Drosophila melanogaster: one gene and its partner. The protein of the gene in region 2 purifies or fractionates together with the protein of the main gene of each other region. This does not show direct contact. Each region holds a gene or a part of one and is shown on either strand. Other genes may lie near its edges. The genes, in order: Ssadh and Drat.

Evidence for each region.
Region 1: the proteins of Drat (region 2) and Ssadh purify together in Drosophila melanogaster (affinity purification with mass spectrometry, with the first as the bait; one large-scale study listed by BioGRID). This does not show direct contact.

Annotation. Positions count from the first base shown.
Region 1 is NT_033777.3:25,619,767-25,635,343, reverse strand, and holds Ssadh (succinic semialdehyde dehydrogenase), read left to right. Parts: upstream 1-8,419; 5' UTR 8,420-8,612; intron 8,613-8,680; 5' UTR 8,681-8,706; coding exon 8,707-9,000; intron 9,001-9,176; coding exon 9,177-10,412; 3' UTR 10,413-10,539; downstream 10,540-15,577. Other genes in the region: CG5071 (uncharacterized protein), read right to left, coding at 14,823-15,577; Npl4 (nuclear protein localization 4), read left to right, coding at 11,765-11,866, 11,939-12,172, 12,235-12,392, 12,454-12,982, 13,043-13,241, 13,304-13,464.
Region 2 is NT_033778.4:7,525,697-7,535,078, forward strand, and holds Drat (death resistor Adh domain containing target), read right to left. Parts: upstream 3,595-9,382; 5' UTR 3,382-3,594; coding exon 3,332-3,381; intron 2,281-3,331; coding exon 1,444-2,280; intron 1,377-1,443; coding exon 959-1,376; 3' UTR 539-958; downstream 1-538. Other genes in the region: Cyt-b5 (cytochrome b5), read left to right, coding at 7,915-8,034.

The DNA of each region.
Region 1 (15,577 bases), on a different chromosome or scaffold from region 2:
AGCGATCCCCTCTTCGGTTTGCCCTCTGGTCCATTAAAAAACCGTCGAACGGCTTTATTAATTTGCTGTAATTTGTTTATGTTTTCTAAGCAATTTGTTTTCCACATGCGGAGCTGCCACAGTAGCACCCAAGGGGCAACAAGGGGTTAAGGTTAACTATTGGACATACAAAAATGATCGTTGCAACTTATCACCATTTTCGGATTACCTCATTGTTTGGTATATGAAAAATTTTGCGTACATAAGTTAAGAGGTAGGGATATCCAGAATAGTATAATTGGCTAAATAAGTTAAAAATCAGAGTAACAAGTAGCATTTCTTTAATAAAACTAAAATAAATCACAGATACCGTGTTAGCTAAGTTGTTCGAAATAATTTATTCCAAACAATAAACCACTTTATGGGCTATCGTTAATATAATTTGCATTTCATTTTATTTCCTGTGATTGTGAAATGTCCCTGGCCAACAGCGAAATGCGTAATTTAAAGTGTCAGGGAACACGGCCATAAATGTTGGTCCTCTTGTATGTTTTTAATAAAGTTATAAATCTGAAATCAAAACATAAATGTGACATTGATCTACAACTGCCGAAAGTGGCTGTGTGAACCAATTCTTGTTTCTCGCCAAAATCGGCGAACAGAAGGAGATTTTTCAGCACATTTTTTTATTTTTTTTTGGCAATCGTTTTCCATTGCGTTTCGTCCAGGGAGGCAGATAAACTTTATGACCACAAAAGAGCATCTAAAATAAAGCAAAGCAAATAAAATCGGACAAGAACAGCATGTGAACGATTGCAAATTACAAGCCCAAGCTCAATTCAGCTGGGAAGCATCTTTGCCTGCGTCTTTTGAAGACTGCAGACTGCAAAGTGCAGATACATCCGAGTATCTGGGGATCAGGACCAGGCCATTTCGCTGCTGTTGTCTTGGCCATGTTTTTGGAACGGCAGCTGCTTCTTTCGGCTCTGTCGTCATTACCAAAAGGAAGCTAAAGACAAACGGATATGCGCTGCACATCAAGCAACTGCTTTTTGCTGCCCAGTTTTTTTTTTATTTCGTATTTTTTCGGTGGTTATTGCATTGCTTTTTGGGCTTTTTTGTATCTTGGGCGAAAAATAAATTGTGCGACAGGTGCGACAACGACAGCCGTCGAAGAAGAAGAACAGGCTCAAACACAGAGATGCATCTTTGGGCCAGAAGAGAGTCTTCCACACTGCAAGAAGATATTATACAATTTCCAAAACTGCATTCATTATAAGCTATACGTCTTGTCGTACTTAAAAAAAGGGGAAGAATCATAAATTGTTGCTATTTAGTACTTTGAGAACAAAGAATACTTTCAAGATGCTCGACTTTTTGTGGCAGTGCACCGGAACGATCGTAGCCGCAGGAAGCTTTTTGTGTGGGAGCGAAGCTTTCGCATTGATTCCGTCTTTATGGGTCTGTTGTTTTTCGGCATTTTTACAGCTGCAGCATCGATAATTGCCAACCCATCTTACATGGACCGAAAAGATGGTGATCAGGACCCAAGAATCAGCGGCAGCAGCTGTTACTTCCGCCCGAATGGATTGGAATGGACCGAGCCTGTAAGGGATTCCTCTTCACTTGGCGATCGGCGGCCAGATCCTTGGCGCATTCATCGATCCTTTTTCTAACGCTAATCCTGTAGACGAGCCGCAGACAGAGGATTTGAACTACCTGTACCTGTTTTGGTCCTCTTTACCCGACTGTTTTCAAACTTCAGGCTTTCAGTCTGCATTTCGATCTTTATTTTGATCCGCTGCGGTGATCTACATGCATGAACGAACCCACGATCCTCCTTCGTGGCCTATTGAATTAATGTGCGGCATTAGGCGGACCAACAGGTTTGGCCTAAGCCTTTTCGGGCTGCTCTGCTGGTAGAAATGCATGCATACGTTTGATCCTACGTGGTCTTGAGTTTTCTTGAGTGAAGATCGCGAGGCGCGCTCACGTAGCTAATAGTGTCCTAAATAACAGGTGTGGAGTGATTGGTTCCACTATGATCCTTACACCGATTCCTGGTAGATCACGTAGCTAATTGATGAGGAATAAGTGCGAACGAAGATCTCTACCAAATCCTCGGTACAGTTGTGTTCAGCGGTGCGGAGTGGTCGAAAGGCAAGTAAACAGGGCCAATGGCAGATGTTTGCATATCGCCAAAAGATCGGTCAGCATTTCTTCGTCTCAGCCTCCTTTCCCTTTTTGCTCATATTTTGCATTTCGAAATGCAAACAGTAGAGGAAAGCAGAAATAAAAGCCGAAAGAAAAACAACATTTCGAGCACAATGGCAGGGCAAAGACAAAAGGACACTGGTCCTGCACATCCTGCCGTGATTTACGATCCCAAAAATGATCGATCTCGAGCGGCAAACAAATTTGCTTGCGGCTTAGGCCCAAAAAAAGGACAATAGGCAGCAGCACTAAAACGGATGGATCATCTCGATACATTGGAACCCCTCTGTGGCAAATTGCATTTGCAGGATTCTTGCGCAAGACCGAATTTCACGACTCATTTGAGCCAAGGTGAAAGTATTTTTGATCGATCTCTCGCAATTTGCAATCTTGTCCGTGGTCCGCAATGAAGTTGTTAGCGCGAATAACCCTCCTCGGGCAACTGGCCCATCCATCCGATCGATGGTGTGCAAATTTGGCATTATCACACATATGGCTGCAAAGCGATCTAAGCGCACAATCTTCCAGTAGTGAGGCACTCGAGCATTCAATCTTGATGGATTTGCATTCTCAGCTGGGGGATAAGCCGCCAGATCAGCGGGAACATTGACTTAATAGCGGGATTTATTAGCAAGGCCACTAAACATACGTTATTAAAAGGATTACAACAAATAAGCCAGATGATGATAAAACGTCTTTTAAGTATAAAAAATCTGAGTGACTAGTTTCACATACAGATTCTGTTAGCAATGGAGATTAAGTAGCCCAACTGAGGCGTCAATGAACTTCACCTACGCCTGGAGGTGAAGCTAACCCCATCTCGCAGAGAAGATCTCACCCAATCTTCCACTGAACTCCAATGATCGCCGTTGTTTTACGAGTGCTGATTTATTTGTTTGCAGTGCGATCACCTCTGTTTGTTCAATACAAACAAATGCCAACTTAAACTCGACAAAAATGTAACAGAAATCGTATTTGCAGCGACTTGAAAGCAAATCAAGCGATCGAAAATCGAAATGGTACGCAAAGTTCAAGATCGCCGGTGAGGAGATCCTTTATTTCTTTATTTTATTTTTGGTCCACTCAAGGGCGTTGCATGAGATGATCTGTCGAAATTTATGAGAATTTGCGTGTAAATTAAAATAATAATGAAAAGAAAATGCCGCCAATGAAGTGGGCTTTTGTCTTTGTCGATTTAAAAGACGAAAAAACTTCCGGTTTTTACAAAATTCGATAGTCGTAATTTGATATGTTTATGCGTTTCGGGCGATTGGCATAAACTTGGCGAAAATAAGAGACAACAGCTGCCGTGAGCTTTTCGAATGATCATCGCGATCATCTCGTCCTCATCCCGCTTCCTTTCCATTATATGTTTATTCCCATCCTTTTTGGCCAGTTACAATCGCAGACAATTAAGCGGAAATGCGATCTGAGAAATGAGAAATGTTGCACTGCACCGGATTTAAATGTGAATGCAATGCGGTGGTTCCAGAACGGAGGCATAATTATGCCCACAAAGGCGAAACCAACTGAGGCCTACCCAAATCAAAAACACAACAAGCCAACGTGGAAAAATGCAAAGAAAACGGACCGGGCATCAGGCATCAGGCAACAGGGATCAGGGACAAGGGCAAGGACATGAATAAGGACACGGATAAGGGCAGGGCCAAGGACAGAAACTGGGAAAATCCAGCGTGAGAATCCCTCGACGACGCAATTGAACCAGGACTACGCAACAGACTTTTCTGGTATCCACCAGGAACAGCACCAGGCGTGCACTCAAAGAAATTCAGCACTTAAACTCAAGTAAGGATCTTTAAAAGATCATGGTATTTTAGTAAAGCGTTTTCCAAGTGAAATGTATAGAATAGCATATTTTTTAGTGATAAAATGCATGTATTGTAGGTCTTGGAATTTCCTTTTCTTAAGCATAGTCGCTTTTTTCTTGTGTACCATCCTGCCATCGAACTACCCCATAGATGGAGATGCTGCAAGGGGAGGGGGAGGGGAGGGTGGCGCAGCAGAGCCACCCCATTTCCGCCCTGCCTTTGGCATTGTGCGTTGGGGTTGGGGTTGCATAAATTATACAAAACAATGCTAGCGCACACATGTATGTATGATTCATGCCAGGATCAAATCCCAATGCGTAGTTCGTTCGATTGCTTTTGAAACTAGGTTTTACGCGCTTTTAAGCGATTTTCGGTACAGTTTTTCCAATCCTAGCAGTTGGTGAAGAGCTCAGGTCTTCCATTCTACGCTGATTTGCTTTTACACTGCAAGAAAAATACCTTCTTCTGATAATAATGTAGATTATGTACATATGTAACTTAAAGTAACATAAGTAAGTTAAGAAATTGTATTTAAAAATGTTTATAAGTAAATACTCTCTTCATTTGACAATTATATTTGACAGTTATGAACCAAAGGAACCAAATATAATTGCAGTGCATTTGTGCTTATTTTCTAGTTCAAAATCAACCCCAACTTTTGGAGATCCAGGTTTCGCAATGAGTAAGTCGCAATAAATGTACCAAATTTGAACTTTACCAACTTTTGGGGAAGGAGACGCGAACGGAATGCGCAATTTAATATTTCCTATCCAGAGACAACAGAAGGACGAACAGAAGGATTATGCGCAGATAAATATGAATGGTCGAAAGGAAGTTCGTAATTAAAATACCCTTAGATAATAAATTATTGCACAATGCTGTTTTGAAATTACAAATCAAATGGATTAATCTAAACTTCATATATTTACACTAGCAAAATACAAGTTTGAAACATAACACTCAACTCCTCTGCTCTGCAGGATACCATAATCCCGCCGAAATCAATCAAATTATCGGAAATGAAAAACTTTTTGACTTGGGAAATTTTCGAAATTTTCTTTCACATAACAATTTAATTTGATGCGCCTGGAAGAAAGATATTTTCACAAAAGCACTCGTTAGGAAAGCAATTTTCAATTCATTTCGAAGGGTATTATGATACGCCTAGATTTCGGAATCTTTAATATTCGGGTGATCGGTTGTGTGAATTCTTTGGGGTTGGCCAGGCGTATTTTCGTACATCGAAGGACAACAATGGATACGGATAAGGGATCGTTTTGTGCGGCCCAAGGACAACGAGATCGAGTTCCAGTGCATGCCAGGACACGCCGGGGAAAGTGGAGAGGTACACAATGGGCGGCGGAATTATGAAATAATAATCAAGTAGGGCATAATCATAATGCCGTAACCTTGATGCGAAGGTAAACAATAATTAAGCCAGGCTGCGGGGACCTTCTATACACAAAAAAAAAAATAAAATAAAGAAGGAAGAAATAGGCTCGTTATAGGGGAAAGGAGAGGGTATCCTGCGCCGGGATCGCAATCACAAGCGCACACGTGTTGCTTCCACCCGGACAGAGCTAATCTGCTGACGCATTCAGGACGCCTCGTTCAGGTTCAGGATGGGACATTCGAAATTAAGGAATCTTGGCAGCTGCTCCGACCTCGTCCTCGTCTTCAGCTCCGTCTCTATCCTTCTGCGTCCTTCTTCGATTTCCCTGCGACTTGACTTGCCAGCAGCTGCAGATGCGATCGTTAAGCACACGTGCCAAGGTGAGTCAGCAGGATCTCCACCAGGATCCGAATCCGAACCGGCCAGAGGGATAGGAAACAGGAGCGACAGAGCCCACATATATCTGAAAAGCTGTTATCCTGCAAGCCGCGGCCATTTTCGAAGATTAACCCTATAAAAGCTTAAGCTCTGCCCCATTTATATTGCCAACCCCAAGGCAAATAAATATATGATACCAATGATATTAAGTATTCCTTTATAAAGAAGCAATGCTATATCAATTAGTTATCATATAGAGATACTTGTGCATAACTAAGCACAAAGTAATGAAATTCTCGAATAGCATATTGGCTATTGGCTTGGGAACTATATTACCCGCCCTCCGTGTCCTCAATGGGTTAATTTGTAACCCATCCTCGGATGGCTGATTCCGAGGAGCAGCTGCTGCTGTTGCATGAGTCGATCACGACACTTATCTGTTCGGCGGCTGTTTTGTTTTCGTGCCATCTTGCCACATTGCCACATTGCCAGGACAATTGGCAACCAGTTTGCGCCCTAAGCTTGCGAGTCCTTTGTCCTCGCAAGAAAGCTGCCAGGCAACCAGATCAGATCCCAAACCGACAGCAACCGAACAACAGATGTTTTATTCTTATTCTCGCGTTAAGGAACGTGTTTCCAAACATGATTTATGGCTCGACTGCCTCGCGTTAGAGAGTGTATTGGAATCCTACCGAAATGGAAAGAGACGGAGCATCTTTGCAACGAAAGAGATGGCCAATGCCACATCATTGTTCCCATTGACCAGCTGCCAGGGCGGCGTCTTGGGCTTCCACAGGGCCTCCGCCTCGAAAGACATAGAAAACAGCACAGAAGAACCGGTCCCAAAGACCATGATCCCTATACTATACTATACGATACGATGCGATCGCATCTTTCCAGCTTTGTGTCGTTTTTATGGCGTGTTATGATTTCGTATTACAATTAGCCGGCACAAAAGGCACACGGCTGCCTATTTCTGGGCTGTCAATTGTTTGCATTCTATAAAAACCAGGGGCCCCATAAATTCGCCGGCCATGGCAGCGCATTAAAACTGTCAAAATTGTGCAGTTAAGTAGACATTAGATTGGTTTCGAGTGCCAACGAACTGACTGACTGACTGACTGCTTCATTAGATGGGTTCCTGATGAGCCTTCGCTGAAAAGGTAACACTGACAAAATGTTCACCTAATAAGCAGATACTTTTATCTTATTATTCAATGATTAGCTTTTTAAAATACGCATACATATCTTCTTAAAACATAAAAGATACAGGGGTTACGGGACCGAAGAGCTCTTCTTAAGGATTCTAATAGTATGTTATGCTAACTAGGTATACTGATTTTGTGATATATCAACTCATGAGTATATGAAATATTTCTCTCCGTGCATCCTGATCTTGATCAGTCTGGAATGGGACATGGAAACACACCTCCCGGCAGCACTTAAGACAAATAACTTAAACACCTATCGACAGGAGCCGGCAGCATTCACGATTGCTTCCGAGCTAGACGCATTTTCAATTAGTTTTAAATCACAACTAATTGAATTCATTCCGTAGCTCCAGTTCTGGTCCGGGGATGCGATCGCCATCTGGACAATCTTATCTTAACAGTTATGATGTCCGTGTGGCGGCCGCCTGTTTTGGCATTCTTAGCCAAAATTTATTGACAAAATTTGCAACACAGATTGCGGGCTCCTGGGCGAAGGGAAGCCCCAACCAGGTGAGGCGCCGGAGGAGGAAGCTCCATGACCAGTAGCCCAGTAGGCAGAACCTACCGCTGTCTAATGCTAAATGGCACTTAGCAAAAAGAGTATTAAGAAAAAGATGAATGGAGCTTAACTTCTATTTGAAGTAAAATGTAGAAAATTATTAGTATTATAATATTTATACAAAACATTTTCTGGCTTATCCTTAAAACTTTATGGAAAATGTGGTTACAAAGAACTGATAGTTGTCTGAATATCGGTCTAATTTTTACAAATTTAAGCCCTAAGTGCACACATTTTTCTAAGTGCTTAGGATGGGTTAGGAGACCCACCTTCTGACAGAACCGCTGCCGGCATATGTGAAATCTATGGTCGTGATGCCTGGCTACAAAGTCATAATAAATGGAGCACAGTGCTCCACGTTGGCGGCGCATGCAAAAAAGATCGGGCAGATCGGGCGAAAGGCACCGATTGTCCGGAGATTGCTGGGACAAGTGGCGCTGCCTTAAAATCGCTGAAAAGCAACGACTAAAAATGGGAATCAGGAAGTTTACTTGGAATGGACTTTCTTTTTTTTGTCGTTCCCTTTTTCTTTTTGAAAGTCAAACGGCTGCCGCCCAGTTGCCTGACAGAAGGTGATTGCTGCATAACTGAAGATCGATAGCTCGAAGTCATTCGATAACAGCAGGCGAAATATTTATGGCAAATCAATATATGATATTTAGGTTCTTATTTTTTGCGTTATGGATGTACTTCTATTAAATATTTTATATTTTTAAAAGCTGAAAATATGTTTTTAATATCCGCTGCGAGTAAATTAAAAAGTAAATGTTATCAAGCAGTTCTTTTTTTTCAAATGGTACATTTTTCGCGGTTCACTCGCGACTGCCAGTTGGCAGCTCCTAAGAGCGCGAACATCTGCTGTTGATAGTAAAAAAACGAGTTGGCAGTTTCTAAGGCTCTGCTGGTTCGGAGCGTAAAAAATTAAAATCAATTAAATCCAATCAAAGCGCCCAATAGAAGCTAGAACTGCAGCTGTGGACAGCAGAGAGTCTTCCCGATAACGTCGCAGATAAGAGAAACGCCTCTAACCCCCCGCAGGTGATAAAAAGGTGATAAAGCAAGCGAACTCACATACCGGTTAATAATCGATTAGTAGCCAATTGTTAATTGCAATTAGTTTGTTTATTTCTAGCAGCCGGCAGAATGTGGCGACAGCTCAGCGGAGTCGCACGAACAGGAAGCAGCCTAAGCCTCTGCAGAATGCGAGGATTCTCGGCACTGGTGCAGGATAAGGCCCTGGTGGATGGCGCCTGGGTGGATTCCAGCAATGCAAAGGCGACCTTCGAGGTGCGGAATCCTGCCAATGGTGCTGTCATCGGCAAAGTGCCCAACATGACGGTGGCGGATGCCCAGAAGGCCATAGACGCCGCTAAGCAGGCGTACGAGTCCAAGGAGTGGCGATCCCTGACCGCCAAGGATCGGTCCAACCTGCTCAAGGTGAGTGCCGGGATCACTCGTTATCAGGGGTGCTGATTGTTGACCCCACAGATAAAGACCATCATATAATATGATGGGACTATAGAGTTGGAAAGTTCGACTGTAGGTCATTGTCATTATTTCTTCCTCTGGTCTCCAAGTTACTTCTGCTTATCTAATCTAATCTCGTCTTGCAGAAGTGGCACAAACTGATCGAGCAGCACTCGCAGGAGATAGCCGAGATAATGACGGCCGAGTCGGGCAAGCCGATCAACGAGTCGAAGGGGGAGGTGGCCTACGGAAACGCCTTCGTCGAGTGGTTTGCAGAGGAGGCCCGTCGCATCTACGGCGAAATTGTGCCCAGTGCATCGCCCAATCGCGAAATCATAGTAATGAAGCAGCCCATTGGGGTGGCGGCGCTGATTACGCCCTGGAACTTCCCGATGGCTATGATTACGAGGAAAGCAGGAGCCGCCCTGGCCGCAGGATGTACGGTCGTGGTGAAACCTTCAGAAGACACTCCTCTTACTGCCCTGGCTGTGGCCAAATTGGCAGTGGACGCTGGCATTCCAAAGGGTGTGATAAATGTGGTCACCACAAACAAAGCGGCTCCCATTGGCGATCTCTTCTGCAAGAGTCCCGATGTTAGGGGTATATCCTTCACGGGCTCCACTGAGGTGGGCAAACTGCTGTTCCGGAACTCTGCTGATGGCATCAAAAGGATTTGTCTCGAGCTCGGCGGCAATGCTCCGTTCATTGTCTTCGATTCGGCGGACATTGAAAAAGCAGTGGATGGCGCCATGGCCTCGAAGTTTAGGAATTGCGGACAGACCTGCGTCTCCGCCAATAGATTCTTTGTCCAGGACAGCGTCTACGATAAGTTTGTTGGGCAGCTGAAAAAACGCGTGGAAGCTTTGAAGATCGGAGATGGTCAGGGTTGCGATGTGCAAATCGGACCACTGATCAACGAGATGCAGTTCAACAAAGTCAGTGGCTTTGTGGAGGACGCCAGGTCGAAGAAGGCGAACATTATTCTGGGCGGACAGCCGTTGCCCGACAAGGGATCCCTTTTCTACGCACCCACAATTGTCACAGATGTGCCACCCTCGGCGCAACTCTACTCGGAGGAGGTCTTTGGTCCAGTGGTCTCCATCATACGGTTCCGAGACGAAGAAGAAGCGGTAAAGAAGGCAAACGACACCAGGAGAGGCCTGGCCGGTTACTTCTACAGCGAGAATCTGCAGCAGGTGTTCCGGGTGGCCAAGCGACTGGAGGTTGGCATGGTCGGCGTCAACGAAGGCATCATCTCCGCAGCAGAGGCTCCGTTTGGTGGCGTCAAGGAGTCCGGTGTCGGACGGGAGGGTTCCAAACACGGTATCGACGACTATGTGGACATCAAGTACATTTGCATGGGCAACCTCAAGTACGACTGAAGTCCGATGGAGGGATCACCCCCACTGCTTTCATACGCTGTCTTCCACTAGAATGCGATTGGTTTATTGTTGTCTAATTGTAGAATAACACGCCGCTATATTAATAAATGTGCACAAAGTCTACCTGAAGCTAATAGATAATTTCCCTTTTTTAAAATAGCCCGCCTCACCTTTCGATTAATTGGGATTGGTTAACAATCGCTTTAAATTGACAAGAAACCGATCATAGAGACATCGATATCCGGGAGTAATCGATTTTTCTCCACCTCTGGGCAGACTATCGCCATCCCCACAGCTGTGCGACAGAGACAGAGACAAAATTACAATGCCAAATGACAAAATTGTAAGTAAATTGTTGATAAAAAATTAAAAAGTGCATTTAGGGTGGAAACTAAGCGAATGTCTTATTGGTGAAGTGTGTGCAGTGAAATTGGTCAAGTGTTTCCCTATAGCTACCCACCAAAAAAGCCGGCAAACAATGTCGGTTTTCCAGTTCGCTGGCGTTTGTTGTTGTTGCCTAAATGTATGGAAAATATATTTAAAGTGCATTTCAGCCGGCAAAAGCGAAGCATATAATGCATAATGAACCCATTTGGAAGCACTCCCGGCAGTGCAAATCCACTGCAAGTCCCGAAATGCGGCCAAAGGTGCTGGCGGTGAAATTGAATGGTACCATGACTTGTAGATTTTCCACTGAAAGAGTGCAGTCTAGGCGGCAGTAGGACTGAGGGGAGTGTGCGGGGGTTTTGAGACCAAAAACCGATCCAAAAACCAAATAAATTATTAACAATTGTTGGCTGCAATCCGCCTGGGGGAAATGCATTTGAGGATATTTCTGTCTAATAAAGCAATTTCTGGTTGATAGGGTGCTACACTCAGAAAAATGTCTCTGCGTAAAATTAATTTTTGAAATATATGTTTTGTAAAATAAGAAAACTGCACATACCAGTAAATAGCACAACTTAAAATTTTAAATACAAATTTAATATAATTTTTTTGTTTTAAAACTGCATGCAGCTTGTCTTTCAAAATGCTGTTTTATTTTTTATTTAAAGCTCATACAATTACAGATCCGAATTTACATATACAGGCATTAGTTCTCTTTTTAACTATGCACTCATTTTGGCAACGAATTGCATTTGTTTTTAATTGCGATGCCAGATAAATTTCCGCAGTCAAGTTCGCGCCTTCATGACGTACAGTTCGAAACACTAAGCAAAAAGCCCTACAGGCTTTGGTAGCTAATAGCTACACTTGACAATCCCCCTTACCCAATCTACCACCCACCACCGCCCACACAAGAGCCCACCCAACCGCCCATCACCCAGTGACCCGTCCAGAAAGTCCAGAAAATGGCCTGTGCACCACTGCTGCTCGAGCAATTCATCTACAAGAAGCGCAATTTCGCCTACGCCTTTGTGCGCCATCGTCTGTTTGTGTTATGTAAACAATCGGTTGGATCAGAAATTGCCAAATTCACCTGTCCTAGTACTAATTAGAATCTGTTATTCATTTGTTAATTCCAGCTAATTCGCGTTCAGTCGGCGGAGGGCATCAAACGCATCGAGATCTCGCCCAAGTCAAATCTAAAGCATCTGTACGACAGCGTTCAGAATGCCCTGAAGGTGGATGGATTTGGTCTCTTCAAGGAGCGCAACTTCCTCACAGAGCTGCAGGCAAGTGGCTCCCAGCTGGTGGGGACTTCCTTGAGGCATGGCGACATGGTCTACTTAAAACAGATGGCTGGCACATCATCGCGCGTAAGTTGATCATATAGAGCAGAACGATCGGGGACTAACCTGCATTTTTCACCACTTCTCAGCGCACTAGCACCACTGTCCTGGACAGTCAGGCGTTCAAGACTAGCACCATTAGCAATCCAAACAGCGCTCGTCCATCCTTCAATGTGATCGAAGATGACGTGGACCAGGCTCTGAGCAAGGCTGATGGCACCATTAAGCGCGAACGTGATAGCAAGCTGTAGGCCTTGATTATACAATTAATTGTAAAATTAAACTGATCAACCTATAACTTTTTGTAGGTGCCACCACAATGCCAACGGCCGTTGCGTTCACTGCTCCGCACTGGAGCCCTATGATGAGTCCTATCTGAAGGAGCACAATATCAAGCACTTGTCCTTCCACTCGTACATACGAAAGCAGACATCCGGCATGGATCAGGGCAAGTACTTTGTCTTCGACGACATCAATTGCCGCATCAAGCCGGGATGTCGCGAGCATCCACCATGGCCCAAGGGCATCTGCTCCAAGTGCCAGCCGTCGGCCATTACGCTGAATCGTCAGACATATCGCCACGTGGACAACGTCATGTTCGAGAACACTAAGATCGTGGAGCGCTTCCTCAACTACTGGCGCACCACAGGACACCAGCGCATGGGATATCTGTATGGGACGTACGAGCAGCACACTGATGTTCCGTTGGGCATTCGGGCCAAGGTGGCTGCCATTTATGAGCCGCCACAAGAGTCTACCAGGGATTCGATCAATATTCAGCCGGATGAGTTCGCCGACGATGTGGATGCCGTAGCCAGTGCGCTGGGACTGAAGAAGGTTAGTTAGTTATAGACAGTAGCTATGTAGCATTAGTATTGACTTTTGTGACATTTATAGATTGGTTGGATTTTCACTGATCTCATCACGGACGATGCGAGTATCGGCACTGTCAAACAGATCCGTGGCATCGAGTCGCACTTTATTACGGCCCAGGAGTGCATCACAGCTGGCGAGCTGCAGAATCGACATCCAAATCCGTGTAAATATGCCTCCAATGGCGTCTTCGGCTCTAAGTTTGTGACCATTTGTGTAACAGGTAAGATTCACGATTTAATACTGCTTAATGAACTAGTACCAAAATAGTTTTTAACATTACAGGAGATAAAACCAAACAAGTGCACATGGAAGGCTATGCGGTTTCGGCTCAGTGCATGGCTCTGGTGCGCGATAATTGTCTGATACCCACTAAGGATGCGCCCGAGCTGGGCTACGTGCGTGAATCCACGGACAAGCAGTATGTTCCCGACGTTTTCTATAAGGTAAGTTAGAAAGTCTCCCCCCCATTCAAGCAAAATCAGTTATCGGGCAACCTTTATTGAATTACGTTCACACATTTACACAAACAACTTCCATATTTAGACATCAATACGAATGGGATTTGGTTTTTCAGTTTGATACATGCAAAGAAAATTTGGGTGTCAAGAGCAACGCCAATTCAAACATTTGACATCTAGAGGCTTACATTATCTTGGATTACGTTGATTTATTTATGGAACAACTTCATTATTTTCCTTATCCTTCTCGGTTTGTACTTCTCATCATTGCTCTGGGTTCTCCTTCAAACGTTCATTTTATTTTTCCTATACCTAGGACATTCATAAACAATGTTGTTATTTAGCGCATATTCAATTGTTAAAATAACTTTCTGAGCAACTGCCAAGCCAATCACAATTTTCCAGTTATTACCCTTATTTTTTTTTATTTATTTTTATTTTGCCAAACTGTTTTGTTCTATCTAATGCTTAATTGTGATACGCGTTTTTATTATTTTGGAAAATATAAGATTTCGATTTGATTTTTTTCTTTTCAATTGAAGTTAATCGTTGATTGATTGATTACTTAAAATAATTTAAAGTATAATAAGTCTACAAATTTCGTAAAATTGATTTCGATTTGTTCCTAAAAAGATTCTTTGCCTTCCTTTACATCGCTAAGGTCATATTATTACTTGATTCCCTTATTTTTATGGATGGCTATTCTTGGCGTTCATTATTTCATCCATCACAAACATAGCCTTAGTTATGATCACATCAAATGCATATTTAGACACCGAAAACTATCTCGTTTATTTACTTATTGCTAATAGGTTTATTTCATATTAATTATTAACTTGAATTGACATTAATTACATGTCAGCTATGTATTTGGATTTCACCTTACTCGTGGTTTCAAATTTTTAAGTTTTTATTGTAGCTAATTTACTATATCCAGGTATCGTCGTAGCGCTCCAACGCACATTTAGTGTCGTTTTCCTTAAGCTAAACTTATTTAAATACTCAAGGTCTGTTACAATTTCCACCTTGTCCATGAATCTGAAATGTTTATAGATCATTGATAGTCTTTTTTTTATTTAAAATAGCATCCAAAACGTTTCAATAAGTTGTAAATTGTTTATAAAAATTCTTTCTTTCTTTGTTAAAAAAATTGGCTTCTGTTGCTGAAAATGTCGAGTTTCAAGTGTCTTACATTGATCGTTTATTTTTACAAAATTTATACCAAGATTTGCATTCCAAGAATAAAATAGATATTGGGTGGTGTTGTACATTCAAAGTGTTTAGGAGCTTTCGGTTTGATACTGTTCGATAAGTAGGATTAGCTAATGGATCAGTCGGACTTATTATTGGTTTAAATGATATTCCCCACAATTCCGGATAATGCTCCTAAGGGCCGGGCGTCCTAGAGCATTGCCACTGGCCGCAATTCGGTCCACCAGCTCAATGCCCTGGACAATGAATCCGAAAATGGCGGTGAAGGATCGCATCTCGTTTAGCACCAGCCGAAATTGGCTGCCCACAAATCCACTTCTGTCCTGTCGCCGCTGTCCCCTGCGCATACCAACCGTTCCCCGATGTGCCGGCAATCCCGTTTCGTCTGGCAAAAAGTATCTGCTCTCAAAGGCCGAGTGCCCACCGCGTCCGTTCTGCGATTCAAAGTCGCCGGTGATGATGCTCTCGCCTCCCCAGGCCTGAAAGACAGTGCAGCCACGATAGCCATAGCCCCGCTCGTGCCGCACCAGCGCCCCAAAGTTGTCCGCCATCCGGGGAGCAGCATCAGATCGCACCTCGATTAGGACCCGTCCGGCCAGTTCTCCTGCTATTTCCATGTCCAGAAAGTAGATGGGGTAACAGTGAACGATGGGCTGACGCACAATGCTTACCGATGAACTCGTACCGCCATCCTGTCGATGATGATCATGGCTTTGTTGACCAATTAGCTGCGGCTCCACCGAGTTGACGAGAATCGCATCTGGCTGGTAAATTGAGTGGGTAAGCTGGTGTACTTGCTGCTGCTGCTGCTGCTGTTCCTGTTGCACTTGCTGCGGCTGCTGTTGCAACTGGCGCACCAATTCTCGAAGTCCATATTCCGTGTCTA
Region 2 (9,382 bases):
TTTACAGTTTTTGGCGCAATTCCACCTGCGGCGTTTTCCAACACCAATCAGTCCGGCTTGGGCTGCCAACCATAAGAGAAGCGCTTATGGGGTTGCCACATCTGTTTGTTGCTCACCTTTAAAAATAGCTGTTACATTTGAAACTAAAAAAAAAACGTTTTTAAAGTGAAAATTTGCTGCACCTTAAGCTTCATCGGCTAAAACTAGTCTGTCCTGAAACTAATTTGATATCTATACATCAATTTTATGCTAGCGATGATATACTCTTTGTAATCGAATGATATTGCCTACAATATCTTTTGAAAAAAGGAACAGTATGCTAAAGAAAGATTAGCATATAGAGGCCAAATTGGCCATCCTACGGAGGCACCTAAGAAATATCAGGAAAAGCAGTTGCAACCTAGATCAGCCCCCATGGATTGATAGTTAATGGTTTTTATTTGTGAATAAGAGTAGAGTATAATGTTGGGTACGTAATGAGTACAAACATCAAGCAATTGAATCAAACATTTGCATCGCATGCGTAACAATTTCGTGTATAGTATGTATAACATTTATTTTGTAATCCGCTTCTGCTGGGCTTTTTGCTTAATCGAAAATCATTGAAGAAGCCGCCGAATTTTGACTCCGGCTAATATGGCGATGTGATGGGTGACTTTGCAAAAGTAGAATCATGGTGGTGGCTTACAAATAAAATAAATCACAATCTATATGTACATAATACTAAAAATGCCTAAAACGCTAAATCAATTAAAACGAGGAGTTCGTCTGCAGTCCAAAATTAAGGTTACAAAACAATGACCGGCTACAAAATAAGCACATTTCTGAATCCGCTTCGAGAGTGTCGCAGGTTGCAGGTTGTTTTGTCGGTTTTGTCGGTTGTCTTCCGAATACAGCTAACAGATATCCATATTAAATGAGTTAATGCCTTGATGGGGAACCATATCCTCCTCCACGCCTACTCAATGTCGTGGAAACGGAGGATGGCGCGTCCGGGTATCTCGGAGTTGCACAGCTTGGCGATGACCTCGGCCGCCTGCTCGCAGGGGAAGACGGAGTGCGGCGGCGGCTCGATCTTCTTGTTGGCTACCAGCTCCACCAGCTCAGCCAGCTGCTCGGCGGTGCCGTTCGAGATGGCGATGATCTCCTGCTGGTACTGCTCCGACAGGCGCGAGAACTTGGGCAGCAGCTTCTCGGCCACCTCGTCGCTGATCAGCACAACGCCGCCCTTCGACAAGCAGTGCATCGAGCGGTGCAGACTCCTGGAGGTTGTGCCAAAGTCAATGACCACGTCCACGGCTCCGCCGCACACGTCCTTGGTGCGCTCGATCAGCTGCGGCTCGTACAGGCATTCGTTCCACTGGACCACGCTGACACTGGAGGAAGGAGGAGGATGTTAGATGGTTAGAGCATGACACATCAGAGGGACCTCAAGATGCTTACTTTTTGATTTCTGTGGCCAGGCGGAAGCCCTCGTCCCGCAGACTGGCCACTGTGATGTCCACGTTGTCGGCTCCAGTTGTGGCAAAGTGATAGGAGGCGATGCGCACGGCCCAGAGTGCCAGGCCGCCAGTGCCCACGATGAGGATCTTGGGCTTCCGCTTCGGCTCCGTGGCAGCCCGCTGGCTGAGAATCTGTGTGACAACGGCCTGAGCCTTGAAGACGGCATTCCAGGCGAGCAGGGCGCCCGTCGGCAGCATGGCGGCCACCTCCATGGGCAGACTGTCGGGAATGGGCACCACGTGCTTCAGGTCCGGCACGACCAGCAGCTCGGCATAGCCGGCTGGGGTCTCATCGAACGGATAGACGATCACGCGCTGTCCAATGCGCAGGCCACGGTTGTTGGCCTCGGTGATCTCCGAGCCCAGGGACTCGATGACGCCGGCCACCTCGAAGCCGGGAAAGAAGGAGCCCTCCCGGATGCCCTGGTGTGCGGGCGAGGACATCGAGTTCACCGACGGACAGTAGTCGCTCAGCTCCGAGGACACTGAGGACATGCTGGTGATGGAGTTGGCGCGATCGCGACGACGATAGCAGGCTCCGGCGCAAACGATCCGGATGCGGGCGCCCAACGCCGGCGTGTCCTCGATGGGCACGAAGAAGTTGAAGACGCAGTTCTTGGCGCCCGGACCGGGCGACTCAATTGACACTTGGCGGCACAGCTTGTTCATGTTGTGCGTACTGTGTGTACTGTGTGGATTATGGTGATCGGGATCCGTTGGCGGCAGAACGGAAGTCAGGGACAATGAGTTCAGCGACAACGAGGTATCTGTTGTTCCACTGCAATCAGACAAAGGAATGGATACATCATATTTAGAGGTGTTGCCATTAAGAATTAAATGGTCACTAAACTTGGCTTGCTCATTTCGAAAATATATCTTTGTATCTTTGTACATATATTCTGATTTTTAATTGATTATCCCTTGAGAATTACCCTTTATTTGATAGCTAAATATATTTAAAGATATGTATATCTCTGATTGTTTTTGATTGCTATAGCTTCGATTGCGTATTACATATCCAAGGTCGCATTGCGTAGTTCTCAATAGTTTCAATGCCGCCTCATGATATGGCAGTTCTATTTCGCCTTTCCTATATACAAACACTCTAAACGACTATCTTGATCTTCAATGCCAGCCACAATTCAGAGTTCTCGATGTAAATATCATTAATGTAGCTACTTTTTGTGTGCTGTAATTACAGTGAGCACACATCTAAAAGGTCAAGTATTGGACTTGCTGACAATCCAGATACGAATCACTCCACATCAATAAACTGACAAAAGATAGAGCTAGAATCGGACACATTAGATTTGGTTAATATACAGCAAAGCCGGAAAGCCATGGCCATAAAGATATCAGATATAATATCGGATATTAGTCTGGTCTGAAGTCTGGCGCTTCAATTAGTTTGATAAGAGATGGTGACGAATCGTATCATATCAGAGCTTACTCCACTTGCACTTTCGTTACTTTTCTATGATTTCAACTCTGGAAGTGCTCAATTGAAACCATAAGGGATCAGTTTTTATCTCAGTGCACCAGCTAGCAATAAATGCCACATTATTAAAAAACAAAAAACAATTATTTATACTTAAAATTTACACAATTTTTTCCCATTTGTACTTTTTTGGGAGAATTTATGACTCAAAACTGTGAGTAAAATCTCTAAATTAAACACGCTATTAAAAACTAATAAAAATTAAAAGAAATCCTAAGACTCAAGATATTTTCCCGATACATATTGCATTTTCACTTTAGAGGCCATGGTAATTGGAAAACTCGATTGGGGAGAATGGGGAAAATTCAATCAGCATCGTTTAATAGTTTACCTCATTGAACTGAGCAAATTGTGCGGTTGACTGCATATATCGACCGGCATTTTGCTGTCCTCGTAATTGTTCTCTGTTAATTTTTTCACTTTTTTTTTTTTTTTGTTTTTTTGCACTACTGCAACTCAACTGCGTTGTGTATTTATTATACAAACTGACTAACACTTTTACTTGTGAATTGGCTAGATTTTTCTTTAGCTGCAATTGCTTCTCGGCGCTTTTCCGACGACTTGACCAGCGCACTTCCAAAGAACATCTGAGCCGCTTCACTCGATGCGGCAGCTAAAAAGCAAAAAAGCCGGTGACGAAATGGAACGAGTGGAACTCTCACACAGCCACACACGCACTCATCACGCACAGGGGCCCAGCAAAGGGGGTCGCAAATTCATCTATCCAACAAATAATATTGTATGCCATTCGTGGGTTTACATATAAGCATACATATAAATTTCGTTTTTAAAGATAGTGGTAAAAGATTACTCACGGAATACTATCAACCTTTTTATCTCAGTTTTGAAAAACTCTCTTAAACCTTTACTAAAAAGCATCAAATAAATTCATTTATCCCTGATTACATTAGATTGCAAAATGTAAACTTAAGTTTAAATTCCAACAGCACTCTTAGTTGCTAAATTTAACTCCAAAACTCTGCTTACTCAGCTTAGTAATCCTTAACCCCTTGGTTAAACCATCCGCACGCCACTGTGTGCTCACATACACGGCACGCAGGGAATGCGTGAAACATTTGAAATGAGTGTATTCATTTGTGTGGATTGCATGGCCGCATTTGCATCTATAGAAATGCATTTCCATATTTTGTGAATTTCGGAGCATTTCACATTTATTTATAGACAACTATTACTTACACCACTGGAAAATAAACATTCTATTGCTTTTGTTTAATGTTTTGCATATATTTTCAATAAACATTCATAAATTCCTCTAATTGGTTTTTGAACTTCTTCTATTGATATGTACATATGTTGATATCAGTTTGCCCAATATTGTAGCAGTGTACTTGAACCAGATTGTTGTTTATCTTTTGTTTACACATTCGAATTAACACGGAGGACGCAGAAGTCGAGAGAAAAACAAGCCCACAGGCAGAGCAATCAAAACAATTTAATAAAGAACAACAAATGCATTAGGCAAACGCGTGCGACAGATTTATGGCCAAAACAAAGTCCAGGAGCTGGCCAAAAACCCCTCCAAGAACGGAAGCCATCTAGAGCACGTTGCCAAGTGGCCATCGGATCCGTTTATAGAACTTTCGATGACAATATGTTCTTCTTAGAAAGCTGCTAGGCAGATCGGAGGAGGATGCCCCATTAGTCACGTCACGATTTGATTCTCATCATTCTCGGCGGGTGGTAACAGTTAATCGCAAGCAAAGCGTTGGACTCCAGTGGAAAATGGAAAAATGGAAGCGGTCTGCCTCGAGTGGAAATTTATCAAATGCTTGCAATATGCAATTAAAATGCGTCGTGCGGCCTTCACTCGAAAGCCAAATAAACAAACAACTTACATATGCATGGTGTATAGATAGATAGATACTTACAGTGTTACTTTATGAAAGCGAATGTTCTAAGCTTTTCAGGTTCTGGGTATTTAGCTAAATCTAGTTACATATCTTCTTTTTGGTAAGAAAAATTATTTTTGTCGGTACTCTCATTTTGTATCTTTATCTCAATCAATGCATCAAACTGTTAGCTTGCTGTATCTATGTATGCATCTGTGTATCTACGTATGTCGTGTGTGCGCACCTCTAACTGTTTGCGATTGTTGTTGCTTGTGTTTGCGGAGCGAGGAACGGTGGATGTTTGCATGGTAATGAAACGTTGAGAAGAAACTGATAGGCGTTGGTGAGGGGGCAGCGGCAAGCAAAACAAAACCAAAGTCATGTACACGTGCTCGCTGCATGATAATCACGCCTGAGTGGCATGCCCAGACAGTGAGTGAGTGAGAGAGGGAGCGCGTTGTTTTTCTTTTCTCTCCCTCACTCAATTTGTCTCTCTGTCTCGCTCGCTCCTTGGCGCAGCACGAATGCATAAATGGGCATCCTTCCTCTGCTTTGTTGTTCTTCTTTGTACGGCCCACACAACAACAATGCGTAAATAAGCCGCTATAAATACGCCTTACATTTACGCAGTTACGTTTTACACATTTGCATCCTTACCAAAAAATGTATGTACGTACATACATATATGTATATATTTACATTTATACATATGTATGTATTACTTTTTGGGGTTAATCAACAGCCTCAAACACTGAGAAGAATTATTTTCATAATTAGGCAGAACTTCAGCAAAATGGTCAAAACAAGTTACTTATTGGTGTTAACAACCCCTATATCAATGAATAAGTACACATTTACTTATTATTAACTTACATATGCCATATGCAAACATCAAATATGTATATTAAATCATTAACAATGAAATTTCTTGCAAAAACACAACAAAGAATAAGATAAGATTTATCATCGTTTCACTTTACATTTATAAACATTAAGACTTCGTGGCGATATTTAAGTTGTTTAACCTTAATCTGGTCGAAGGTGAAAGCGAAAGTGACATAACAATTCGTTGAACGAAATTCGCAAAAGCCACAATTAAAAACAGTATGTGTTCAATTAAAAACAGCGACTGAACGAACTCTTTTTCTGACCAATTAAAATCCGTCCCTCGAAGATATACCACCCCCCCCCCCTCCCCATTCGATGTACGGATCAAAAGATCATCGAGCAAGAAAAATATTTACTGAATTATTTATTTATTCATTTTTTTTGTTGCGCTTGAATTGAAAACATTTGTTCGTCAATTCTAGTCAATTGTATTTAATGGCGGAATCAATCGAGTCTAATGACGGATTGGCAATGCAAATTTAGTGGTGCTGTCGCGCCAGGAAAATGTTGACCACTGTCTCACCTTTTCCCCGCCCGAAACGGAAAATGTCGTCAATTATGCAGCAATGAGACATAAAATTTAATTGAATCGCTGGCGGCCAACCGAAGTGAACTCTCGGTGTAAAAAATATGCAGGAACAGGGCTATTTTTAGAGCCTTTGTGTGAGTGAGAATAATGCCTTCGATCGCAATCAAGATCTGAGTTTCCGACTTTGTTTTTCTTGTTTTCCAGTAGTGCGTGTGTGGTACTAATTTACAATCGTCGATTGCGTTTAAATGGGTTATAATAAGTATACTATATCTATATATAAACCAAACCCACACCTAATTTTGGCATTATACTCCACTATTCTGACAAGTAATCAATCACATTACGCCTACCCCAAGAATATCGCATATAACCCGCAATGGATACATAAATCCAGAGCTTGGGTGCTTCTCCTAACACCTTGCACAGGTATCCCCCGGCTGGTAAGTGTTTACTGGCCAGTCAAATCTCCAGGTGCTGATAACCCGAAGACACAAACAATCTGAATGATTTACGGGCCACTCGACTCAGTTTTGGATTGTCCCCCATAAGAGTTGTTTACCCACGGGGCTCCAGAACACGCGTAAATCGGGATCCAAGGGCATGATTGAAGTTGGCAAAACTTAATAACTTTTTAACGCATAAATCCCGTCACTTGAATTACGCATCAGCGAAGCGGAAAAGGAAACATAGTGGTGGATGTATACCAGAGAAAGGAAATCGGACCCAAGAAAATGGCCACCGCACGTAGGCCACTCCAGGATGCCAATTGCGTAATAAGGAACTTACCTTTGTAAAAAAGCTAAAAGCGCTGCGTATCAAAAGCACACCCGCCGTCACTTATCAATATATTTATGCTTAGTTTGTTGTTAACTTGAATTGCGCTATTGGACAGCGCTGTAGCTTTTGGAAAACTCTTCACAATGCGTGTCGACTGTTTTTATTGAAGGAGCGCCGCAGCCGCACGGCGTACAGCAGGATACGTTTGACTTTGAAGTCTCCTTTGCCGAGTATGGAATAAAGGCAGGGCTTGAGTGTAAATACAAGATCCGAGTCTGCGCATTCGTCGCTGGTGGAACCAGTTCGCTGGGATACCGCTCGAAATACATTTTTATTAATGAAATGGTCTGCCCAAAATAAATTTGCTTACGAATTTTGTTTGTACATTTCATTTGAATCGTTTATTTCACTAAAGGGTTTTCTCACATTTCAAATTGGGCGCCAAAATTAATGAGGTGCTTTGGAGCACTGGTCTTATCGCGCCCAAAAGTATGCAGTATTCTTTACATGTCGATGGTAAAATAGCCGTGATCCACTATACAATCGCATCGCATAACCACCGCTCCAAATCCGATATATTGTGTATTGGGTGCTGTAAACAAATTATAAGCTAGATAAATAAGTTATAAGCTATTATATATTATAATAAAATATGTGCTCATACCACAAACAATCTGGCTAGTCTAAACGGTCACTATTCGATATCGATAGGCGTTGGTGTAAACAAGCCATCTTGCTGCGCGCCAGTGTGACCGCCGGCCACCAGTTCTGTGAGACCGTGCGCCCTGGAGGAAGAGTGCGAGGCTGGACAAATAGTTTTTCCGTGACACAAATCAAACGCGCAGTAGAAATCAACAAGTGATCACCATGTCGAGCGAGGAAACAAAGACTTTCACGCGGGCCGAGGTCGCCAAGCACAACACGAACAAGGACACCTGGCTGCTCATACACAACAACATCTACGACGTCACCGCCTTCCTCAACGAGGTGAGAATCGCACGGAACACGTCGCAGCTGAGTGCCACCGCCCCGCACCCGCTCCCACCACTAAATGGGGGTCATCGTTTGCTATTGGGCCTTATCTGGGTTTCACTTGTCCCGATGAGCTAATGGGCCCAGCCCCAGCACAAGCCCAAGCCCACGTAGCCACATGTAGCGACTCTAACTTGCATCGCGGGGCAATTAGGTCTGTACTTTGACCCCCGGACGGTAGTTTGACCTGCGTCCGGATTTCGCAGATTTGCTGCGACGTCGAAACTTCCAGCAGCCACTTTCGCCCAGCTGTCGAAAGAGCTCCACATGGCGAAACTATCCATTTGCATACATGTATATATGTGTGTGATGGGCGACGAGGGTCAAGTGTTAAGCGAAATCCGCGTCTGCATTTGCATCTCATTTGATTAACGGACTCCGATTTGAATTCGGATTCTTATGCAAGTGCACCACCGACAAACCGACTGCCGCCGGCTCCGAAAAGTGTATCACCCTGACGCAGCAGTAGGGTCATCACCAAATCTATACATATAGACTACACAAGCATTCCCGCTATCTGCGGGATCTAAGATAAGCTCTGTGAAAATTCCGATCTAACGATGACGTTGCACTTTAGGTACACGCTGAAAATAACAATAGTGAGAGTGACCAAGCATCTAATTTATAATTCCATTCCAAAGTTTCAGTCCGCCTATCGACCGCAGCCATCCCCAGTCCATGTTTAAAACATGCCCCTAATCTGATCCGCTTGGTCCTCTTCCATCTTAAGGAATAACATTAGCTACTGTTACCTTGCTATCTGCGTAACAGCATCACCAGACAAATCGCAAATTAGACTTCCAGATTTTAGAGCGTTTGCTGGATCTAAAGATTATTTTTTACGTGTTTATTCGTTATTTATTCAACATGATCAGTTTATTTTGACGAATCTTATTCAATGTGTTTCCTGCATATGTATGTTCCGATTTGTCATATATAAACCAACACAGTAATTACAATATAATCATCGAAATTAGATAAGGCTAAGTTGGACTATGTAAAAGTTTAAAGAATTGTGAAAATAATTATGAGATACGCTTATCATCGATTCAATTGCACTCGGCCACCTTGAAGAGTTTGGCTAAAATTACTTTAGCTTATCACTCAGCACAATTGAGGCGAAACAACTTGTTTGCTTTTAATAGTAATTAATAACAATAATTACATCATACTTGCTCCGCGGCTTTTTCAGCATGACTCTAAGCTATAGTACAAAGTTTCAACATTATTATAATGGTACAATCAAAACGTAACTTCGCTCGAGTTCTTAGGATCAAAGTTTCTGTAACTTTATTGGCTTATA